2 linked regions of the Daphnia pulex genome follow. The protein of the gene in region 2 interacts with the protein of the main gene of each other region in a pairwise test. Links are inferred from orthologs where the notes say so. Each region holds a gene or a part of one and is shown on either strand. Other genes may lie near its edges.

Region 1 (2,988 bases), on a different chromosome or scaffold from region 2:
GACTTGGATGAAAGTGAGACCAGGCAGTAAAATGACAAACCTTATTGAATTTGCCTTAAAATCTATGGAAGATAATAAATCTCAAGTGTGGTCTGGAACTGGGGCAGCAATTGGAAAAACAATAAGTTGTGTTGAAATCATGAAAAGGAAAATTCAAAATTTACATCAAATATCTAAAATCTCATATCACAAGTACAAAAAATACATAGTAATCTTTAATTTTATTTTAACTAACACTCTTCTCTAGATGTGAGGAATATTGGAATCCTAAGAGTGATGAACTTGATTCCCTTAGAGTTGTTCGGAATATTCCTTTAATACACATTTTGTTGTCAATTGAGCCATTGGATTCCAATGAACCTGGGTATTATCCATACAACAATACTTAATGAAATTGATATTAAGTTGTTTATTTGCTTCTATTGGACAGGTACCAGTCTTCTCAAGTTGATGTTAAAACCACTGAGGCTCCTGGAAAGATGAAGAAAAAATCAAGGGCAAGAAACAAAAATTACCACAATTTTGGAACCAAATGAAAATTTATTGAAGACATGAAATATGATGAGTGTTCCTAGAGGGGATGAACAAAGTTGTTAAACTGCAATAACATCAAGCACACATTAAAGTTGTAATAAATGACTGATTATGCCTCTGACTCAGCAGAATGGCCAATAAAATTGCCAGTTTCAGTTTCTTCAAAAATTGGTACAATCAATATTTCTTTAGACATTAAGTTGTACTTGGTAACAAATTCCGTAAAGCGGCGACAAAGGAAAGTTTCATTCTAGAATTATACAATAAAATTAGTAACATCTTACTGAAATAAATAACAAAAACTAACCTCAAATTCATCGAAGAGATTCCTATGATGAAAATAGGCATGAGAAAATATTCTATAAACTCGCCGACACACCGATCCTAGCTTGGCCACAGAAGATTCTTTAATACTTATGCTAAAAATATAAATTGAAGTCGGTTAATAAAGTAAAACATAATACACGCTGCTATTTTAGTTAAACTTACCGACTTGGAAAATACTTATTACTGTTTAAAAGACAAGCAGCACCATCTAAGGTATGTCTGGTATAATCAATAGCAGGACATTCTTTCGGAGTTTTATGTGCAGCACACAAAAATATCCATTGATCTGTTGCTGTCATTTGTGTACAAGATTCAGGGTGACACTCATTTTGCAGCTTTACTGCTATACCATTCAGTTCCATGCAAAATTGTCTGCAGCAGAAGGAGAAAAATATAATTCTCTTTCAATAGCACACACACATCGTTATTACTCACCTCAGATGTTCATATTTCCATACACCTTCATCTTGAGAATCTGGGGCTTTTAGAATTTCATCTATGGCAGTGAAATCTTTACGAATGAGTTGTTGAATATACTGCTGCACCGCTAACGTACTATCCATTTCTTCGAACATTTCTTCGGGCCAGCGGTAATACTCCTGAACATGCAAATCTTTGGTAAAGTTAATCTTAATACCAAGATCATTATAAAAATACAAACAATTGTTTTTGTTCCAGGTCGATTTCTCCTTTCCGTTCGGCATTCTACATCCGCCATTTTACACTTAATTAGACGCTTTTGATTGAGATTGAATGTACACAACAACACAGGGCGCCTCCTTTCTTTCACACAACTACGTCATCAACCTCCCTTTCCAACATGGTCTCCCACTGATGAGCTTTGAGGGGGACTGACTACACACTGTATGTAGAGATGGCGCTAGTAGGCGCTTTCTGAATTCTGACACTTTATGCTTTATGCACCCTTCAAGTCTTCAACTCGCCATGTAAAACGGAAACGCAATGTAAAACCTGAAGATCAATTAGATGTGCAATTTTGATATTACGTTACTGGCTTTAGTGTCGAGTAGATCTATACCATAAGCTTCTGTTAATAAAAGAGAACGTATACTAACCAACACGATAGATTTATAACTCGCTAATCCGACTTAAAATCTGTAATCGTTGCACACGTAAATGTAACTTAATTTCCCCAACAGGTTTCATTGTTTCATGGTGACCTGTAAGTTCCTAGTCTTACTGTCATTTAAACAATATAATTTTACGCTGTTGCATGTGAAAAGATTTAAGTATTGAATCGAGGAAACCAATAATTTTGTTAGTTTCCATAAAACTCCGAGAGTAGTGATATTTCTCCAGATGGTAAAAAAGAAATTGAAGAAAAATCAAAATCGGTGTACACCCTTTTCAGTTCCGAGAATGGAAGCGGTGGAAGCCCCCCTCGAAATGATGTGCACGAAAAGAACTGCTGTGACCTAGATTGCCTTTTTGTTCAATTCGATACGACTAACGGAAAAAATTCCGTATAGTCAGCAGTCTCATCCGTTACATGAATCATTCATTCTTTACTTTTTTGGGGTTTTATTTACTCTGCACTGCACTTGCTTGCTGTGATTTCACATTGGGGGTACGCGGATTTGGTTTTGATAACCACTTTTCTATTTGGATTTTTTCCCATCGAGTGCATCATTCCGCACTACTCGCTCATCTGAGCGCAGGGTTCTGCTGGATTGTGTGCTGTGTACAAGTTCTCACTGCTTTGATAAGTTCAGTTCACGGTACTTACAATGTCGCTGCTGCTGTCACGCTTTCATGCACTGACGCAATAAAAAAAGAACTGGTCAAAGTGTCGTAAACTTCCTCAGCATTTAAAAGAATTCGTGCTCGAAGGTTGACTTCACAAACTTGTTTTTAGCTATCCATCGCATGTGTGTTTTTTTATCCGTTTCGAATTAACTGTTATATAGAGAAAAATACCAACTATGGGTATAATAGTTGGCAATTTTGCAATTACGATTTACCACCGCACAGACAGGCTGAAAAAAAAAGTTTAGTGGGCTCCGGAAGAGTAATAGAGGTCAACGATTGAGAAGAGGCTGGTGAAAATGCAAATTGCTGGACCCTAAAAAATGAATGAAAGCTAGTTGCTGCTGGCCTCCGCCTCCT
Region 2 (4,363 bases):
ATAGGAACTTTGTGTTGTTGGGCTTTAAATTTTTTTTTTTTCTTTTTAAAAGGCAAAAACAGAAATTATTATGGCCTCCAGGCTGTTGTTGTAGGGGGGGGGAAAGAGAACAATCAGCTGTTAATTCGGTTGCGGGGTCTTAAAAAGTCAAGAAGAAAGAAAGAAAGAAAAAATCGGCGATCGGTTATGCATTTTTGCGGTTCCAACAGTCGCTGATGTCATTCAAGAACACGGAACCACAAGGGCCAATGTTTAACACACTTTGTCGGGTTCTCGATTTCGTTAGTGTCCAGGAAAAGAACAAAAAAAATGAATTTTCTCGATAGGCATCCCGGAATCGTTGAGTATTCAATTGCCAATAACCAGTCGGCCATCAATCCTTGAAGGATACAACAACCAGAAAACATGTAAATCTTAACTGGTATTATATACGAATATACTGAATCGATTAGCGGTGGTTCTCTCATGGCTTTGTCTTGTCCCTACGGATACGTTTGATTGACTGCAGCTTATTTTTCTTCTCTTCCTGTTGTTTTGGGATATTTTTACCTTTTCTTGTTTTGTTTTGTTGTTTCTTATTGTTCCTGGCTGTTGTTGCGTTACGGTCCGCCGTATCCCGCCACCCGTTATGCAAATCAGATTGCATGCCGGTAAGCTGCTGTTCCCCTCAAAACCATAGGCTACGAGAACGAAACCCCCCAAAAAAGTGAAGGAAACCAACTGAGCCAAAAGACAAAAGGAGAACTTTACCAGACGGCGATACACAAGTGACGCGCGGGCGTTTCTCGTCCATCACGTCAAGGAAAATCCTTTCAAACATTTCTTTAATTTTTATTTTTTATTTCTACCCCAAAGTCTGAGAATTGACTGTCGCATCGTTCATTGTGTTTCTGCTAAAATTGTGTGACTGTGTGAGAGAAAAACAAGGAGCCGATATAATTTTACACAAAACATCATCTCGAGAGCCTCTCTGTTTCAATGATTCTTGGAAATAAACTCGTCAAAAATCTGTTTACGTTATTATTACAAGTTCCATTTTTTTGTTTCAAGTGCACTGCGCAAGTCGCCCCCCACCGAAAATACATTAAGCGCAATATATATATACACCACACAAGTTTCGAGTTACGGGCTTTTGAGTTTTCGGGCTGTTTTGGGTCAACACCGAAATGTTGATCCAAAGAAGACACAAATTCTGCTTCGTGAAAATTCGGTTTTTCGGCCAGCTCAGACAGCTGTTTGCTACACTCCACAAATCCCTTAAGTTATGCTCGTACGCGTCACAAGTTATTACAGTCCGCGTATTGAATTTGAATTTATTGTAGCTACTGTAGAAATATTTAGCCGCCCGTATAACACTGCGTCAGGAAGACTTAGAAGAGTTATTTTTCTCTCCAAAAAAGGGGAGAAAAAATACCCTCCCATTTCTTTTTTTTTCCACAGTATTGTGTAGACTGATTTGTATGAAAAATAATCGGCTTATCAATTCTTTTTAGATTTTCAACCCCTCCACTTCAGCCAGAAGAAGAAAAAAACTACTGCAACCCTAACCTACGAGTTTTATTGATTCTACCAAAGAAAATACGCAGAGGAAAGAAAGTATGGCGCGCGATACCGAAAACGATACGGTACGTACGGCCGACAGCCCTTATATCCAGTGTTTGTCGCAGGATGGACAGTCGTGTGTCTCTTAAGAGCTGCAATAAAGGGGAGCGACTAACCGAATAAAGGAAAGGACTCTATAGCCCATAGCAAACGTAATAACACACTCAAGTAAGAAGAATCGTCAAGTTCAGAAGAAGAAATAATATGGCCGCGAGATATCTGGCTAGTCAAGTAGGCACGTGGTTAAGCGTCCATCCGGAGAGGGACGTCCAAAGGAAATGGAAAAGCGGTCGAATATAGAAGAAGAAGAAATACAAACGATTATACCAACATGGGACTTGTGCTGCAATGCCCAAAAAGAAGCAGCACGCTTTTTTTTATTCTTATTTTTAACCAAAAAGGAAAACCGAGTTCATCCGCACAGGTCACGGCACACGCAACGTTAATACAACACGAGACTAAGAAAAATAGCTGACCGTTCATTATTACCCGAAAAAAATTCTACGACATCCGGACGGGGGGCGAAAGAAGAAGAAGAACAAACTTTTTTTGTTTCTTGTACGCGCTCACGTGCCCACACGTCACTTACATGCACTAAGTTGACTCAAAAAGATTTTTCCTACCGAAATCGGCCAAGGAAGGAGCAGGCGCGCACACACAACAGGAAGCGAAATTAACAAGAAAATACGGGCCACCATGTCGGCCGGCGGACAGACACCCCGAAAGAGTCGAAACCCACAAGAGAACGAAACATTGAGAGAAACATATGAGTAATGAAGCGATTCCGGTCCCCGGACTTGTATATAAGCTGACTTGTACACACACTCACATATGGAGAAGACTCAGACAAATAAATCACATCACCCAACAACAAAAAAAGTTATTTTTGGACGGCTACCACTTAGTCTAACGTAGACAATGTTAGAAGCCAGCCCAAATAGAAAAGAAATACAGAGCTAAAGTATTTCTACTCTCCGAGGACTGCTGTTTTGTAGAAATTAAAGTGCTAAATCGCAGTAAATACAAACAAGAAGTAGTACGATACCATTATGGAGATCCACTGGGACGTACCGGAATGACGAGAGAGAGAGAAAACCCAGTCTAGTGTCGCCGGTTCAACGCGCCGACAGATTATTGAAAGTAAAATCGCCTGTCTATGGTAAGGTGCAGACGAATGCGTGGGTGCCATTCAGGCGACTAATAATGAAACGACAATAGCCAAAAAAGTGTTTCGAACCTACTGAGCAAATATTGAACCTTCTCCTTTAAAAGGGGGGAGAGGTGAGCAGCAAAGGAGAAAAAGAAAAAAAAAAAAAAGGTGTTTCTTCGATGATCACACCGATGCCTATCCGGCGGGGCATATCATCGTCTGTAGTTCTCTGTTGCTGTTGTCAAAGGGCTATGTGGCTCTTCCTCTTCATTCTTTTCTTTTTCTACTTTACTTTTTCCTTTTCTTTTTTAACTTATTTACTTACTATGTGGAGGAGGGAAAGAGTCTACTACTACACACTTTGTGCACGGTTTGAATAGATTCTCGGTCTGGTGAGCCGTAAAAATAGCAATGTCATGAGGGTCCGGCGACTAGGAAACGCAGGATTTATTGCTCCCTATTGACAAGGATAACAGCTACTGCCCACATTCCTCTCGTTCAACACTCACACAATCATCACAGAATATAACCGTTTAGTACCCCCTTGCCACACAATATAACAAATACGTTTTTTTCTCGTTGCATTCTCTACTGTAGGAATCGATATGTGTAATGTGCGGGGGCACGGTCGGGTGATTGTCGAAGGCCTCCATTTGATTTAGAGTGGAGTAGCCATCGATCCAAGGATTCGGAATCTGATTAGACGGAGGAATAAGTAATGATGACTCGAGACGGATATTATTCTATTGACTAGGGTTTGAAGGGAAACAGCTGCACACGAAGGTTTGCCAGAAGGATCTCTCGAGTTTATATATGTGGACGTCGGGAGACAAAGAGCGAAAAAGGGGTTTGTGAGCTGCTGGGAGAGCCGATAGACCTTCGACTAATTGATTTCCCGACTCTCGTATATATCGACGGAATAGACACACACAAAGGCTGGAGAGATACACCGCAGACTCGGCGACCGTGGAAACCGCACGCCTTGAATTGACAGGAAGCACGCAGGGCCCATTCAGATTTCAAGATTTCTTGTCCTCCCTCTCCCTTCCAGTTCCGCCAATATAACCACCATAGGCTCTTGGCGGAAAAGCATCAGCCCTGAAATTGATTTAGCTGTTTGACCCGTGGAGAAACGACTCTAATGTATGGAAAAACGAGAACGGCTCAGCAGCAGAGACGAATGTCTTATGAGGCGGTATAAATCACACGGACAACAACATCAGTTAAGTGGAGTCTATACGTATAATAACCAGAAAGTGCCGGTGTGGCGGCAAGACTTGTGGGAAAAATTGTTGCAAGTTGCACTTGCTTCAAGTGTGTCAATCAAATATTTCTGAATTCGATTGTGTACAAAAACAGGCCTGATCTGTAGTAACACACGTGAGCTATTTAATAAACCCTGACTGAGAAAAACAAAAACAGCGAGAGAAAACAGTTTCAGCCAACTGCATGGCCCAGGAATAATCGTATTCCGTGATCCGCAACGATTTATAATAAACGGAGAAAAAGAATAGAGATGAATTTGTCCTACCTTTAAGCCTGAGAAATACGGCCAGGCATCCACAAGTGTTGCTCCATCCACAGAAAGTTGAATCCACCAGGAGGAATAGG

Evidence for each region.
Region 1: the proteins of uncharacterized protein LOC124195356 (region 2) and MOB-like protein phocein interact in a two-hybrid assay, tested with the Drosophila melanogaster proteins (2 studies listed by BioGRID). The link is inferred for Daphnia pulex from reciprocal best matches to the Drosophila melanogaster genes rau and Mob4.

The regions. Positions count from the first base shown.
Region 1 is NC_060018.1:6,492,672-6,495,659, forward strand, and holds MOB-like protein phocein, read right to left. Parts: upstream 1,709-2,988; 5' UTR 1,580-1,708; coding exon 1,523-1,579; intron 1,461-1,522; coding exon 1,297-1,460; intron 1,234-1,296; coding exon 1,024-1,233; intron 954-1,023; coding exon 842-953; intron 785-841; coding exon 644-784; 3' UTR 537-643; downstream 1-536. Other genes in the region: ribonuclease P protein subunit p25-like protein, read left to right, coding at 1-192, 248-364, 431-536.
Region 2 is NC_060022.1:5,383,348-5,387,710, forward strand, and holds the start of uncharacterized protein LOC124195356, read right to left. Parts: upstream 2,814-4,363; 5' UTR 2,792-2,813; coding exon 2,648-2,791; intron 1-2,647.